Linked DNA regions of Arabidopsis thaliana. The protein of the gene in region 1 purifies or fractionates together with the protein of each later gene. This does not show direct contact. Each region holds a gene or a part of one and is shown on either strand. Other genes may lie near its edges.

Region 1 (7,542 bases):
AGTTGCTGTCCTTGGAGGGCTTCTTCAAATTGTCTTACTCATGTTTTTGTGTGGTGTAACTGCCTTGGTATGGCCAAAGATTTCAGTATGTGTGCATATACGGCAATCTTGAAATTATTTTTAGAATTGATATCTGATGACATGTGCAGTTGTGTGGAGCAAGGTTGTCAGAGGGTATTTTTGTTGGTGCCTTTTTATCTATGTCATCAACTGCAGTGGTATTTTTCTTTTCTTTTGTCTTCTCAAGTTTAATACAAAAGCTACTCTCTTTCCGGTTTCATCTCAGAGTTTCTGTTTCTAATCCACATGTCAATTTGACCAGGTGGTAAAGTTTTTGGTAGAACGGAACAGTACAAGTTCTCTTCATGGTCAAGTTACTATAGGGATACTTATCTTTCAGGTTTCACTCACATCACTCTATATTTACAAATTGAATATTTCGTTTTACGAAATTTTTGTTTCCTTTAGCTTAATCTTGAATTTTCAGGACTGTGTTGTTGGTTTACTATTCGCCTTGCTTCCAGTTTTGGGTGGTAACAGTGGTTTACTACAAGGAATTATATCAATGGGAAAGCTGTAAGTGGTTCCCTAGTAAGAAGTTTGTCCAGGAACCTCTTATATATCCTCATTACCGTCTCTGACATAAAACATTTTCTTCTTCTAATTTAGGCTACTGATATTGTCCATATATCTCACTGTGGCATCTCTATTAACGTGGTCATTTGTACCTCGTTTTCTGAAGCTAATGATTCAATTATCATCTCAAGTACGTTTTAGACGTCATATCTTCATATACACTACTTGTCTATCTTTATTTCTTTCTTAAAGTGGGATCCAAATTATTGCCAATGTCTCTCATTATATAATGCAGACAAATGAACTTTACCAGTTAGCTGCTGTGGCATTCTGCTTACTATCTGCATGGGTAAGTCTAATTCTGTCATTTCTTTGCATACTGGTGCTTGCTTAGCTTTCTGATCCCTTTTGGTGTATTATAACATCTGAGTTAATTGTTACCTGAGCTTGCATCTTACTAATAGACTACAGAAGAAAAAAATGATGATTACAATAGACACTGAAGTATTTAAGTATAATAGCATATTGATGTAATTTCCAATTTTTAACTTAGAGTGTTGGTTCCTCGCAAAACTTTTTCAGTGCAGTGACAAGCTGGGTCTTAGTCTTGAGTTGGGATCATTTGTGGCTGGCGTTATGTTGTCTACGACTGAATTTGCTCAACATACACTAGAGCAGGTATTGATTCTAAACTCAGGTCGCTTTTGCTTTGCGAGTACGTGGTACAAAATGAAGTCTTAAGGTGGTGGAATCTCCCTTACTTTGTGATGTAGGTGGAACCAATTCGTAATCTGTTTGCCGCTCTCTTTCTATCTAGTATCGGGATGCTCATTAATGTTCACTTTCTATGGAACCACGTGGATATCCTTCTAGCGTCGGTGATTCTAGTGATAGTTATTAAGACAGCAATTGCAGCAGTAGTTGTTAAGGCTTTTAGGTACAACATGAGGATATCTTTCCATGTGAGTTTGGTCTCTCTACTTAAGCTTTTGTGAGTTTCTACATATTATACTATTAAAACCAATCACGTAAATTTCTTGTCACAAATGTTATATATAGGTCGGGGTACTGCTTGCTCAGATTGGAGAGTTCGCCTTTGTTCTTCTAAGCCGAGCGTCAAACCTACACGTAATCGAGGTAACACCCTTTTACCCTTGTAGTTGAACACACTCTTTACCATTTTCTTCTTCCTAAACTTTGTGGCTTTGGGATTAATATGAATGACCAATGTAGGGGAAAATGTATCTACTCCTTTTGGGCACAACTGCTCTAAGTCTCGTAAGTTACCTAATATATGCAAACAAGCCTTTTCCATTCTAAGAGAACATACTTAAAATAATATTTAGTTCAAAACTGATTACCTGAAAATGCTGTTACAGGTAACGACTCCGTTGCTATTCAAGTTAATACCGAGTGCAATGAACCTCGGTGTCCTGCTTCGATGGTTCCCTTCTGAGAACAGTTCTCCGAACGAGGTCATTCTCTTTTCCAGATCTATTTATATTTAAGAACTGAGATAAGACATGACATAAAAATGAAAATAGATGTATTGATTATAGGAAACTGACTTGTGAGGTCGTGACTGAGAGTTTTGTTTGTAGAGTTTGCAGGAGAAAGCATCATTGATAGAAGTACATAACAGAACCAAGTGATCTCTCTTTTGTACATTGACTGAAGATTTAAGAAGAAAAAACAGATTTTGATCCGATATACTCAACTAGGAGGCAGAAAAAACATTTGAAACTGACCAAATCAGATCCAAGACTTGCTTTTTGTATTTTCTTAACTCTTTATTTTTTGTAATATCGTATATATTTAGTATTCACTACCTTCTTGTGTAGTTCAAGCGCTTATAGCTTGTTTTACTTGGTGTAAACGTTGTAACGATATTAGCCTTATATGCTGTTGTTTCTTTAATGTTCATCACAAATAAGAATCTCAATAGAAACCACAGAGTTCTATAATTGTGTGCTCAAACTCCACATATCTAAAGTGCGAGCAACAACTAGATGAATTTAGAGGTATAAATCCATTGCAATGCACAACAAAAATAACAAAAAAGAACCCTCCTTAGAAGAACAATGACATCAAAGTATAGAAAAGGATTGAGGTGGAATGAAGTAAGAGGCTGGTGAAATAGGAATTTAGTAGCACATATATGAGGACACGTGGAGCTTAGTGATTGGTTGAAATAAGAAAAGATACGTGGATTCGATTGGTATGAGCTGAAGTTGCTCAAGCTTAAGATCAAGTTGTTCATCGTCTTCTTCATTATGCAAAAATCTGAGAATTGTAAACTTTTCTTCTTCTTCCTTTCTTGTGTGTTTGGGGTTGTTACTCATTGTTAGTTTGAGATACTTCCTTCAATTCACTAATATTATTTATTTACGGGCAAATCTTAATGTGAGATTTTTGCATAGTGAGAAGTGAATCTGCGTTTTATGAACATCGTTTCAATCTATAGTTCGATTTCATTTGTGAGATTGTTGAGTTTCCTGTATCAGCTGGTTAAATAGCAAATCTACCATTCTTATCACCATTACGGAGATTGAATTTTCCGGAGTCATGGCTTTCCACGTAGTAGATGAAGTTTGGGGATAGGCCATACAAGCAAACTTGGAGACGGAAATATATACAAATAGAAAAACAAAATAATTAAGATTAGTTTTGCACAAACTTTGCAAAAACATCAAAATAGGTCCGACATTTAAATCACTTGCTTAGGTCTATAAAATAACACTCCCATCATTCAACATATTTTTCCTCTTGTGGGTTAGACCTACAAATCCGTGGATAAAACTCTTTAAAAACCTGTAATCTGTAACATATTGGCTTATTATCCATCACGCATGCTATTTTATGGACATGAAAATAATGTCCAAGCGGACCAAGCCCGCTCTGCATGGTATTATTTGGGCCGAGGCCCGTTTTACTCATCAGTTTTCATTACCGGTCAAAACTCAAAAGTCAAAATTTTCTAAAAGACGAAAAAGCCCTTTAATTTGATTTCCCAATACTTTTTACTCCTACCTTCTCAATTCGTCCGATTTCTTCACAAATTCACGAGAGAGATAATGGAAGTAGGATCTGCAACGAAGAAGCTTCAGTGCCAACGTATTGGCTGCAACGCCATGTTCACCGATGACGACAATCCTCAAGGTTCTTGTCAATTTCATGCTTCCGTACGTCTTCTTCTCTCCCCATCTTTAATCGATTCTTCTCTTTCTTTTCTAAGTCTTCGATAGTTTCTGATAAACCCATAGAGTAGCTTTTGAATTTGATTTTATGATGTGAGGTTACGAATTTCGATTTTTGATCATGAGAAGATGATTACGCAAGTGTTTAATTAGGTTTTGGATTAGCTGATTGATTACATGTAGATTTCATTTAGTTGTAAGTAAGTAAGCTTTGAACACAGCTTTGATTGTCTAATTGTCAAATTTTAACTAAGTTGTTTGCTTGCAACCTATGAATTCTGTGAGACTGTGAGCTTATTAGAACACTTGATGGAAGAAAGCAAAAGTATATTGCGTAAAATTGAATAATCCAAGTATTAGATCTTTTGCCACCGTTTATGGCTATGTGAGGGAGAGTGTACGTACATGCAGCGACTTTTGAATTGTTTGCTTCCAACTTTTGCCACCGGTTATGGCTATGTGAGGGAGAGAGCTCGTTAAGACTGTCCCTGGAAGTGTAATTAGAACAATTGTGTATAGAAAGAAGGCTTTATCTCAATATTCATCTTAACATTTGGCCTTGTATACTAGTGTTTCTTTCATATTCATCTATTGCTTTGAGCTTTTTATTGTAATTCATCTTCTTTTATTATCTTTTCTTTTTCCGGTGTGGCTGGGGCTGGTCTTTGCACTGACTACTGGTTTTTGTTCAAGCAGGGAGTAAGTCAAATTTACTCTTCAAATACTGTTTTATGTTTTTTTTTTTGTTTCACACTCGCTTGCTCAGAGAATTAAAGCTACCAAAGTTCAAACTTGCAGCCATTTTTTCACGACGGAATGAAAGAGTGGAGCTGCTGCAAGCAAAGAAGTCATGATTTCAGTTTGTTCTTGGAAATTCCAGGGTAACTAATATCCTTGTACCCCCTCATAATAATTCCTCTGTCTTTCATGGTACATATTGTAGTTGATTGCAAACACTGAAGATGTTTCTTGCAATGAAGATGTAAAACAGGTAAACACACAACTGAGAAACCAGTTCTGGCCAAATCGGTTCCAAAACATCCTGTTGCGGCTCCTACTTCATCTCCAGATGCCAATGCAGCAACAAAAGACTCTTGCTCCAGATGCCGGCAAGGCTTCTTCTGCTCAGACCATGGTTTGTATCTTTATTCTCTCGTCTTTAAATTCTCGTTGCACATTGGTTACATGCATGACCTTCTATCTAATTTTGTGTCCTTCTTTACCACACAGGATCCCAACCCAAAGAACAGATCAAGCAGACCCTGAACACACCGGGACAAGCAGAAGAAGAAAAAATTGAACCCTTAGCGCCTCCAGTACAAAAGGCTGTGATAGACATTAATCAACCGCAAGTCTGCAAAAACAAAGGATGTGGCCAAACATTCAAAGAGAGAGACAATCATGAGACTGCATGTAGCCATCATCCAGGTCCTGCGGTCTTCCACGACAGACTGAGAGGGGTAACACGTTCTTTGTTCAATCATTTTGTGACCCTTTTCTTTCACTGTTTGAATTTCTATTGAATATCACTGTTTTCTTTGTGTAGTGGAAATGTTGCGATGTTCACGTGAAGGAGTTCGACGAGTTCATGGAAATACCTCCTTGCACTAAAGGATGGCATAGCAGCAGCCCTGATCCGGCGGTCTGATATATTTTTTTTCCTGAGATTTTCGATTCAAAGATTAATCATCTTTTCTAATTGTGTTTTCATGTTCTTCTTATCATATGGAATTCTATTTTAGATTTGTTATAGAACCTTTCAGTTGACAGATATATGTAATGGTTAAATGCTCATCTTCTGTGTTTTGGATCATGATTATGGCTTTGATTGTTGTTTTCAAAACTTTGAAGATCTTTAAATAATTTCACCAATATTAGAAGGACTATTTAGCAACTTTTAAAACGTAGAGACAAATTGCGAATATGGAAAAATAATTTGCCAATTTATCTCAAAACTTTTGTATTTATTCGACTCTTTTTCAACTTCGTTACTCTCAACGAACGGCTCGAATCTCTCTTCAACGCCGGAGGCAACAACTATCTCCGCGGCGGAGCATTTTCCGATGAGGTTGATAGTACCTCTCCGTGGAGTAATTCAAGGCCGTGGTGGTCTCTTCGTCGGCTCTCTCATTCCTTGTTGTCTCTTCTACTTTCTCCAGCTCTACCTTAAACGACGCCGTCCTCCTCCCTCCGACCCGACGGACTTACCGAGAACTTTTTCACGGACTAATCTCTTCTCTCGCGGGAACTCGATCGGACGAGTTCGAGTCTCCTCCCGAGCAGTTCCTGTAGCTAAACCTTCCGATTCGCCTTATTACATTGGGTTGGAGAGAGTCAAAACGGATCCGTACGATCGGATTACGAACACGGATGGGATTATTCAGCTTGGATTAGCCGAGAGTACGGTGAGATTTTAAAAGTTCTCGATGATTTCTTCTCTTTGTGATTGTTGCGATGAGGTTTAATCTGATGGGGATTGCTTTTGTGAGTTCTGTAGCTGTGCTTTGACTTGCTACAGAGATGGATGTCAGAGAATTTGATGGAGTCAATGATGCAATCTGATGATGGTGAATTTGATATTAGTAGTATCGCCATGTATAAACCTTTTGAAGGATTACTTGAACTCAGAGTGGTAAGTGCATACACCATTCACTTTTTTATTCTTCAAATTTTTTGAGGAAGGATAGCTTTTTGCAGTTATTAGTTAAATATTTGACTGCAAACGTGTATCAGAAATTAGAAGTGGTTTGATTGATATATGTTCTTGTATAGGATCAAAGGAATGTTGATTATATATCAGAAATTTGTGTATTCAAACTTGTGGATTTAGTTGTCCCAACAATGTAGCGAAGGAAATTGAATTTCTTCTATTCCTATCATGTTTCAGGCTTTTGCTGATTTCATGTCACGAATAATGGGAGGTAATGTGTCATTTGATCCCTCAAATATGGTTATAACAGCCGGTGGGACTCCTGCTATTGAAGTATTGGCCTTCTGTTTGGCTGATCATGGAAATGCTTTTCTAATTCCGACGCCATATTATCCAGGGTAATTTTTAGTTTACACTTCTCGACCATTAGTATGTGGTGAAACTTTTTGATTTATACACCAGTCTTCTCTTCCTATGCGATGTACTAAGGAAACTTCATTTTGCAGCTTTGATAGGGATATTAAATTCCGGACAGGAGTGGAGCTTATACCAGTACACTGCCGTAGCTCTGACAATTTTACTGTAACGGTTTCCGCACTGGAACAAGCTTTGAATCAGGCTAGAAAACGAGGAAGCAAGGTTTCTGGCATCCTCTTTTCAAACCCGTCAAATCCTGTTGGAAACATACTATCAAGGGAGACGCTTTGTGATATTTTGAGATTTGCTCAAGAGAAGAACATCCATGTTATTTCTGATGAAATATTTGCGGGTTCTGTTTACGGGGACAAAGAGTTTGTTAGCATGGCTGAGATCGCTGGCTCAGGGGAATTTGATAAGACTAGGGTTCATATCATATATGGCTTGTCAAAAGACCTTTCAATTCCTGGTTTTAGAGCTGGAGTCATCTACTCCTTTCATGAAGACGTAGTAAATGCTGCAAAGAAGCTGATGAGATTTTCATCAGTGCCAGTTCTAGTTCAAAGGATACTTATCTCTCTACTATCTGATGTAAGATTCATTGAGGGATACATGGCAGCACACAGGCAAAGGATCCGGGATAAGCATATTCGGTTTGTGGAAGGTTTGAAACAATTAGGAATACCATGTGCTGAGAGTGGT
Region 2 (9,353 bases), on another chromosome or scaffold:
GCAGAACCTATCACACCCGTGGAAGGGGCTAAGATGGACATCTTTTGGGACCTCTGGGTTACTTAACCCATTCCCTGATAGAGTGATAGTAACAGTCCTGATTTGATCTATCAGAAAATCGAATCCTCTCTTATTGAGATCGGCTTTAGCGGTAAGATGTCAATTTGGGCTCATGTTAACGATAAGAAAGTTTCCACATGGGGTAAGTTTTATGTAACAAGACGTGGAAGGCAAGAATATACTTCCTTCCCGAGGCAAAAATCCCGCTATGAGAATGTTCAATGACATTCTTATATGGACAATGGACTCTGGTGTGGACTTTACTGCGCCAGCATTTATTGATATGTCAAGAAGATGAGACAGTTGTCTTCTCGAACTTGGAGGATTATCCAATCCTTAGAACTAGAAGTGCCAATCTTGATTCCATTTATCTTAATATCGAATCAGCTCTCCATAAAATGGTACCACAATAGAGATGACTTGTCCCGGGCCAGAATCCAATATACCATCCTGAAGGTGAATCCCTCTTAACTAACAAGACTCTTCTCGTTTCTACTTATATATGTTTGTAGTAATACTCTAGGTCTCTTGTTTATCTATAGTTTCACCTCGTGATGATTCGTGTGTTTGGAGGATGTCTGTCGAGATTGTTTCTTTCGCATCAGTGAGATTTCCCATGCATTTTAACATGAATCTATACCTCTGTTAGGGATATGATTGATGTGGCTGCTCTAGTACTAGTGCTGCGGTAAGTTTTGGATTGTTTGTGATTTTTGGCCTTCCCCATTTGCTCTGATGGATAATTTATCGTGTAAAAATTAACCAAAATCGATAAGATAATAAGATGATAATTTTTTAAAAATCCCTATGTAAAAATATGGTCCCAATAATATCATAAATTAATAATCATAAATCTAAGCATAGATTCTAACACTAATTTTATATGAAACTTTTATTCAAGTCACAATTACAACTCTCTTTAGAGTACCGTTGGTATGATCTCTTTTGTACTCACGTAACTCTTTGCGCATTTTATCCGTCATATTTGGTTTTGTAACATTTTTTAATCATTGGTAAGATTTGGATAAAGAAAATTTGGATTAAGCCTCACGTTAACGTCGTAAATATACGGACACAATATATTGTAGAAAAATAAATTAAAAAGTCAAGAGAAAAATAATTTTTTTAACAGAATTGAATATACAAACAACAAAACATAAGAAAAACTAAATTAATAAACATTTTTAAAAGACTTTAGTATTGTATTTTACGTAAATATTTCTATAAATTAATATTTATTATTTTATCCTATAAATTAATAAATATTAATTTATAGGATAAATTAATATCACTATAAATTAATTAAATTTTATGGTCCCAACATTATTAATTTATAGAGTTTCTACTGTATTTATAGAGGATGCGAGTTAGGTAATTTATTTTTCTAATAGGATTTTGATGGTTTTACAGTGTTACAATTTTACTATTAGGAAAAGTAAAGTTTCTTTTTTTTCTTAATTTCCTTTTTATTTTATGAAAGTATAATTATCTCAACGGAAATTAATTAGTTTTTTTTCTAATTGTTTGGTTAACGATTGTTCCAACATTATAAAAATCCAAAATTTATGTAACCAGAATTTTCTTATATTTATACATTTTCTATACATCAAACAAGTAAAAATCAGAATTGCTCTACTAAAGTATTACCAAATAAATAATACTAGGATTAAACTTGCGGTTTACCGCGGGAGATTTTTTTATTTGTACAGTTGTCAAAATAGTATTAGAATTATATAATTTAGTTTAACTCGTGTTACGTCCAAATTAGTATTGTAATTATAAATTTAGATATGTCCAAGGTCATTAACAATTCCATTTTACTCATTCTCTATCAAATAAATACAAATTCTAACCCATTATTGCAGGTCGGTATTTGATTTAAATTTTGACCAAGAAATTTTCCATCAAATGATTGATTTGGAAATCATTTTGATTTGGAAAGTTTTAATGGACCGTTAAGATTATTAGTTTAAATAATATCCGGAAAATGTGTGATTGTACCATATTTTGATATATCGAATATTGATTTTTAAATATAATTTATTCCATATGCATAATTATGAATTATTGTAAATTCTAATCCGCTCCACTAATTAATTCGCGAGCTCTTAATATTGTTTGCCAACATAATATTTTTAATAAAAAATATGTAAAATTAATAACTATATTTTTGGTTTATTTTAGATTGATTTTTTATATTTAGTTTTTTTAAATCTTTGAAAAAACAATAAATAGGTGATAAGTATTGAATATAGTGTGTTTAAGAAATATTATTTAAATTTGAAATATAGTGTATTTAAGGAATATAGAGTGATGACCAAATTACCATAGACGATTTTGATTAATAATGTACAAAATCCAAAATTGAAAATTGATGGCAGATTAGACTATTTTTCAATTTGTATTTTCTTTTTAATAATAAGAGGATGTAAATTCAGAATATTTAATACAACTCAAATGCAAATATTTTTCAAATATTCGTAAATATTTTTGTTAAAAGCTTTTTTTGTGTAAATTCTCTAAAATTATTTTAATTATCAAAAAAAAACTACAAATACTGTATTGGATAAATCTCGTTCACGCGTGATTTAATTATGGGCTTTCATTAGGCCCATGATACTGCTAATGGAAAGATAAAGCGTTCTGTCAAAAAAAAATCACTGCAAACAAAAGAAGGTAAAAAAGGATCAATCTTGCCAAGGATCACTCTCTGCCCTCACTTCAGATGGTTCAACTACCTCTGTTTCTCCGCTTTTGTCATCTCCTTCATTCACAGTCGAGCTTTCTTCTTCTTCTTCAACTCTGCCCCATCTTCCTCCAACCGCCATTGCCATCATCTCATATATCTTGTTCCCGAGCTCGGCCGGGCTATCAGGCTGTACAACAAACACATATAAGTGAGTAAAATGGTCCAAGACTTTTACTGGGAAACAAGAAAGGTTTCAGATTTCTTACAGTGAATCCACTTGATATTATAGCAGTGTCATACAAGAGATCGACCACTCTTGTTGCTTCAGTGCTCTCTGGTGCATTCTTACAAGCAGCCTGTACCAAAAGAATACAAAAATTAATAAGGCTTTTTCGAGACAAGAGATTTCTGAGAGAATATTATACCACACACTTACGTTCAAGTCTTTGATGATGGGATGATCTGGATTGATCTCTAGTATTCTCCTACCTCTCATGAACTCCAGGCTTGAAGTGTCTCCAAGAGCCTGTGCCTTCATTAGCCTTTCACAATGAATAAGCACATAAGTCAATGAACAAGCACATAAGTTTTATGGTATGTGGATTTCAGGTTATAAAGCTTTTGCTGAAGTACTAACCTTTCCATATTAGCTGACCACCCGAATTTGCCAGAGACAAGCACACAAGGAGAAGAGCTCAAACGGTTTGAGACTTGGACTTTTGCAACTTTGTCACCGAGCTGCTGTTTTATCCAGTCACAGAGAAGGTTAAACTCTTGTTTCGCTTCCCTGTCCTTTACTTCATCTTCATCTCCTGCGAGAATGGACACGTTTTGTTACAAACAAATGGTTGAGAGAAATGTGCGGGCAGTCAGCAGTGCTAAACCATACTTACCGAGTTCCAAATCTTCTTTACTGATATCAACGAATTTCTTTTCTTTGTAGGTTTGCAAATTCTGAATAGCAACTTCATCGATTGGTTCAACCAAATATAGAACCTATAATTAACAAAAGCAAGTGGTGAGAAAGTCAAATCTAAACAGAAACTCGAAGTTGAAAAACAAGTCTTGAAGCATATACCTCGATATCTTTTTGGATTAGTTTCTCCAAGAAAGGGGCAGACTTGGCACTTTTAAGACTATCAGTTGCGAGGTAGTAGATCGCCTTTTGGTTCTCTCCCATGTTCTCGATATAATCATCCAAGCTTGTCAATTCCTCTTCATTCTTGGAACTGAAGAATCTAAGTAGCGGTGTGATACGCTTGTGGTTACCGGTGTCTTCAATACAACCCAATTTAAGGAATCTACCAAAGTTCTCCCAGAATTTCTTGTAATCCTAGAATTGTTTGTACAACATGAATATCCCTGGCTTTCAAATGAGCTCAAAACAAAATTAGGATAATGAGATACCTACCTCTTTGTTTTCACTCTCAGAGATTTCTTGTATCATGTCAAAGGTTTTTCTAATGAGCCTCTTTCTCATGATTCTTACCTGAACATTATCACGAAAGATAGTACAGTTACAATTTGTGATATTCATATATGATAAACATTTGTATCACTAACAGTTGCACCACTCACAATTCTGCTTTCTTGGAGAATTTCACGAGAAACATTAAGAGGAAGATCATCAGAGTCCACAACTCCCTTCACAAAGCTCAGATATCTCGGGAACTGCAAACAGATTAGGTAACATAGTCAGATAAAAATTGAACCACAAATCTAAAGAGATTTCTACATAAGAAAGAACCCATAAAAGACTCACAAGCTCTCCATCAAAATCGTCAGAGATAAACACACGCTTCACGTAGAGACGAATGTTCTTTGTTTTCGGGTTTGTAACATCTTCATTGTTAAGAGGACCCATCCCAGGGATGTACAAAATGCTCCTGAACTCAACCTCACCCTTTAATAATCAAGACAATACAGAGACTAGTAAGCACCAATTGAAGAATTCATAAATTGACATAAATATAGTGTATAGTGTATAAGTATAAAGACCTCAGTTGTGAAGTGTGTGTGAGCAAGTGGATCCAAGAACTCATTGAAAGCCTTTTTGTAGAACTCATTGTACTCTCCTTTTTCCACTTCCTTCGAATTGCGCATCTATTCAAAGACACAAAATAATCAGTAAACATGTTGAAAGAAAAGTACAAAACGCAGGCTAAAGCTCCAAGGCTTACCCATAGCGGTTTGGTCTCGTTGGCTAGTTCCCAATCCCAATACTTCTCAGTTTTAGTGGTCTTCTTTTTCTTTGGCTCACCCTGGAAACAAACAAGTAACAAAATCAACTCAGTAAACAAAATTCTAGAACAGTCTTTTGGTTGTGACTGTTTGATAGTTGATACACACAATTAAAACAACATAATTTTTTTACCTCTTCTCCTTCCTTAACTGGTTCGTCCTCTTCGACCTACCACAAGTTACAAATTTTAAACCATATTAGCAATGTGAATACACTAATATGATTACAAAAACAAAACTTTCATCCTCACCTCTATAGTCCTTGATTTCTCCTGCCATGTATAGATAGGAAACCCAACGAACTGAGAGTAATTCTTCACGAGGTTCTTGATCCTTGTAGACTCCGCAAATTCGTATTTATCATCCTCCTGCAGCCAGGAATAAGCAGTCAAACAAACTATAAGAGATCTGACGCATCAAATGAAAGGATGAATGAATAAAGAAAAGTACCCTCAGATACAAGGTGATTTGTGTTCCACGACGTAGAATGTTATCAGGGTCTGTTTCTTCTCTGATCAGATACGAGCTACTATCGGCAACCGATTCCCAAACATATTGCTTGTCAGATTTGGGGCTTTTGGTGGACACAACAACCTGAAAGCAAAGACAATTGTACGTCCATTCCTCGTAAGAAATACATTAACCAGAAGACACTAAAAAACAAAAGTTGAAAGTCTTCACCTTCTCAGCAACTAAGAAAGCAGAGTAAAACCCAACACCAAACTGTCCGATCAAACCGTTGTCAGCACCAAGGTCCTTGTTTTCCTGAATAAAGAGAGCAATAAAACAATGAGTCCGAAAACATGACATCAAAGATTTGCTAGCAACAGGTTTTCAAAGAGATGGAAAAAAAACCTTTAGAGCCTTCAAGAATTTCGAAGTACCACTTTGAGCAATAGTTCCAAGGCAATCAATAAGTTCTTCCTTTGTCATTCCAATACCAGTATCACTGCATATACGCATCAAACCTCTCTAAGTAAACCTGTTCTATTCAATTTTCAATACTTAAGTAAAACAAAAAATGAGAAGTCTCTCATACGTTATGGTGATGGTGCCGTTATCAGGATCAGGCTTAATCCTAATCTCAAGATCTCCACCATCTCCAAGCAAAGAAGGCTCTGTTACACTCAAGAACCTCAGCTTATCCAAAGCATCACTTGCATTACTGAACATACACAGACACATTCAAAATCAGATTTTGACAGAAACACACAAATCATTTCCAAAACAATCCATCAAAATTGACTCACCTTACAAGCTCCCTGAGAAACACCTCCTTGTGACTGTATAAGCTATGAACAATCAAATCCAACAATCTACTAACCTGTGATAAGATTTCAACAATCAAATCTTAAAACTTTATATCCCCATCAAGTTGAGAGATACCCAGAAAACAAGATTGAAACTTTAGGAGATATGAAAGAGAACCCACCTCAGCTTGGTACTCAAACTTCTCACCTGACCCTTCTTCAGTGGTCTCTTTCTCCGCCACGGCGGCGTCACACTTCACGGCGAATCGGTTACATCTCTTTTCGAGATTCCAGCTACACGAAACGCCGGTTCTTAAAGCGCCGCCGTGTGGGAGAAACGAGCTTCTCAGATGAGAGAGACGAGAAGAGACAGGAGTGATTGGAACTGAAGTCAAAGGAGATGTGTAGAGACTTCTACTCAAAGCAGGAGCCATTAGATTTGAAAGTTGTGAAGGAAAAGATTTGAGATTTTTTTACAATCTCTCAATCTCTAAAGAGAAAAGAGTTTGTAGTAGTTGAACAAAGAGTAACCTAAAAACCCTATTAAAGGTTTAAGGAGAGTGAGGTAAGAGAGGTTTCTAGAAGAAGAGCGTATAAAGAGAAGAGATGTTTAGAGATTGTGAGGTCTACGAGAAGCCATTTCATCAAAACCGTAGGATTATCCGTTTGATTTACACGCGCCTCTCCTTGAGAAATTGTAGCTGACACACACACACACACCAAATGCAAACCAAATTGAAAAAACACCTTATTGGGCCTACACGTTAACCCATAATGGGCCTATAGCCCGTATAAAGTAAAACGAAAGGTTATGGCTGGAAAATGTTTCGTATCAAATTGGCCCATATCAAGAAAGAGATCTTGAATATTTGTTTTTTTTTTTTTTTTTCGTAAATTATATATATGAAAGTTGGCCAACTCTCTTCATATGATAGACACATCATCACTTTAGCATTTGACATGTGTTTATTAAATAATTAATGTAATCTCTTCAATTTCAAATCTATAGTTTAATGATATATTTATATTTAATTTTACATATTATTTTATTATACATATTTAATTGTACTTTTACTAAATTTATTTTAATATCACATGATTTTTTAATAAAATCATTTTAATAGTTTTCTCATACTCGAAGATTTTTATGGTAATCCAAACTCAAAGTATGAGTATATTACTTAATAATTTAACTAAGTTATTCTCTTAAATTGATGTTTATATTCTCTTAAATTGATGTTTATATTCTCTTAAATTGATATTTATATAATAAATAACTGAGGGTGAAGAATATGTAAGGAGCTCCATCATTAAATTCTTAGGTTTATAGAATCCAACACTACCCTCTGTTAAATTGGTTTAAGATAAACATTGTTTAGAAATTATGTGTATGATGCATTGTTGAGAATGTGGTTAGAAAAAAATATTTTAATACTAAATGTAATTGCTTATTGCATGAGTAAATGATAAGATAAATAAAAATTATATTTAAATTAAACAATACAAAAACATCCGAAAAAACCGTGGTGTAGCGCGGATGATCACCTAATATTTCATAAAAATGAAAACATGATAGGTTTACAATCGATGATTTTCAACCTAAGCTAATGGTTCCATGGCAAAAAAAATAAAAACATGGAAGCATAAAAATAACCACATACATAGTGACATATACCAAGATAAAATGATATTAAAATTTTATTGATTTAGAAATTATGAGAAGGTGTGCACTAAATAAAATACAACAATGTTGATGCTAACGAAGATACACGATTGCTAATTATTGGAAATATCGAAACCATACGTTATAGACTCCATACCCATAACTAAATTAACCAAAACATATATAGTTACCAACTTCTCACTGTCCTCTACTTATTTTGCAACTTTTCCTTTTTTTATTACGACTATAATACAGTATGTGGGTATTGGGTATAACCTAAAAACAAAATATTTGCAATTTGGTCAAAAATTTGCAATTTCTTTTAAGAATAATAAAATGATGCAAATGATGTTTATTTGTCCTATTTTTGGATCCAAGGCAGGTATTTATGAATGGTCTACTGAACAAAAGTAATATCTGATGGAGAGCGGAAGCTAAATAACGGACGAAAACACAAAATCTCTATGAGAACTCGGATTAACGAACGGATTTTGTTTAGAACGCCGAAACTTGATGAAGAAGCAATAGAGATAAGGTCGAGATCGATAACGATATCGATGAGGTTTTGCAAATCCTCCTTGCAGGGCTTGAACACAAGCTTTTAGGGTTGAGAGTCCTCCTCTCTAGGCTTTAGACAAGCTCTCTTAAAACTCGTTTATTCAATAATCAAAAACTAATTACAATAATGAATTACATCTCTTAAAATAAGAGAAAAAGAATGGAAACCCTAGCCTAAAGAATAAGCAAACTAATATCAAATATTCAAAGCCCAAATATACATTAATTAAGTCCATATGAAACTAAACCCAAAAGTAAAGCAATAAACAATCTCCTCGGACGTGATGAATACCGGAGGAGCATTTGTCTTCAAGATACGCTGCATCAATATCAGAACAAGGTAAAAAAAGTTTTGGAAGTGTTTGAATTATAATGTTCAATAACAGATATTTACCCCCAAAAAAAAGAATAAGAACAGAAAAAAAAGACTATGTAAAATTTTTTTTTTTACATCTTTGTATCGACAAGACCCGATCAATACTCAATCCCTACTATGCGGGATTGCGGGATAACGCAACTTAGTGAAATCGAATTCCGGTGGAGAAGGCGGAATCAAATGGTTAAGTCCATTTGACTAAAAGCACATCCTCGTATGTAAGATATCTAGAGAATTCAAATTGGTAAATAAAAAACCACTTAATTTTGATAATTATATAGGCTTGTATTGGGTATAATTGAATATCTCTCTCTATATAATAAAAGTTAGTAACACAGAAAACAGAAAAGAATATTTATTTATATAATATATATATATATATATATATGAATATACGATATAATGATTATATAGAAGTCTTGAATATTAAAAAGAGTGTGGTTCATCGTAAGCCGGTGTGGAGGTAGACAAGCACAAAGCACGCAAATTTATGAATTACAATTTACGTAATGTTGT

What was found.
Region 2: the proteins of PBS2 (region 1) and CR88 purify together in Arabidopsis thaliana (affinity purification with western blotting, with the first as the bait; one study listed by BioGRID). This does not show direct contact.

The regions. Positions count from the first base shown.
Region 1 is NC_003076.8:20,999,252-21,006,793, reverse strand, and holds PBS2 (cysteine and histidine-rich domain-containing protein RAR1), read left to right. Parts: upstream 1-3,507; 5' UTR 3,508-3,650; coding exon 3,651-3,758; exon of another isoform or gene 3,759-4,469; coding exon 4,470-4,472; intron 4,473-4,571; coding exon 4,572-4,654; intron 4,655-4,753; coding exon 4,754-4,908; intron 4,909-5,003; coding exon 5,004-5,233; intron 5,234-5,319; coding exon 5,320-5,421; 3' UTR 5,422-5,650; downstream 5,651-7,542. Other genes in the region: KEA5 (K+ efflux antiporter 5), read left to right, coding at 1-67, 150-218, 323-400, 488-576, 670-766, 872-925, 1,159-1,254, 1,350-1,538 and 4 more; ACS12 (1-amino-cyclopropane-1-carboxylate synthase 12), read left to right, coding at 5,837-6,178, 6,271-6,405, 6,661-6,821, 6,930-7,542.
Region 2 is NC_003071.7:1,279,304-1,288,656, reverse strand, and holds CR88 (Chaperone protein htpG family protein), read right to left. Parts: upstream 6,904-9,353; 5' UTR 6,675-6,903; coding exon 6,423-6,674; intron 6,315-6,422; coding exon 6,241-6,314; intron 6,156-6,240; coding exon 6,030-6,155; intron 5,940-6,029; coding exon 5,846-5,939; intron 5,756-5,845; coding exon 5,672-5,755; intron 5,585-5,671; coding exon 5,441-5,584; intron 5,359-5,440; coding exon 5,242-5,358; intron 5,160-5,241; coding exon 5,124-5,159; intron 5,011-5,123; coding exon 4,930-5,010; intron 4,853-4,929; coding exon 4,748-4,852; intron 4,653-4,747; coding exon 4,512-4,652; intron 4,421-4,511; coding exon 4,328-4,420; intron 4,239-4,327; coding exon 4,161-4,238; intron 4,083-4,160; coding exon 3,828-4,082; intron 3,746-3,827; coding exon 3,643-3,745; intron 3,562-3,642; coding exon 3,387-3,561; intron 3,292-3,386; coding exon 3,186-3,291; intron 3,106-3,185; coding exon 3,016-3,105; intron 2,937-3,015; coding exon 2,748-2,936; 3' UTR 2,513-2,747; and 1 more. UniProt on the Arabidopsis thaliana protein: Molecular chaperone required for chloroplast biogenesis. Essential for chloroplast biogenesis and maintenance, and thus for embryogenesis. May be involved in the disassembly of VIPP1 for thylakoid membrane formation and/or maintenance.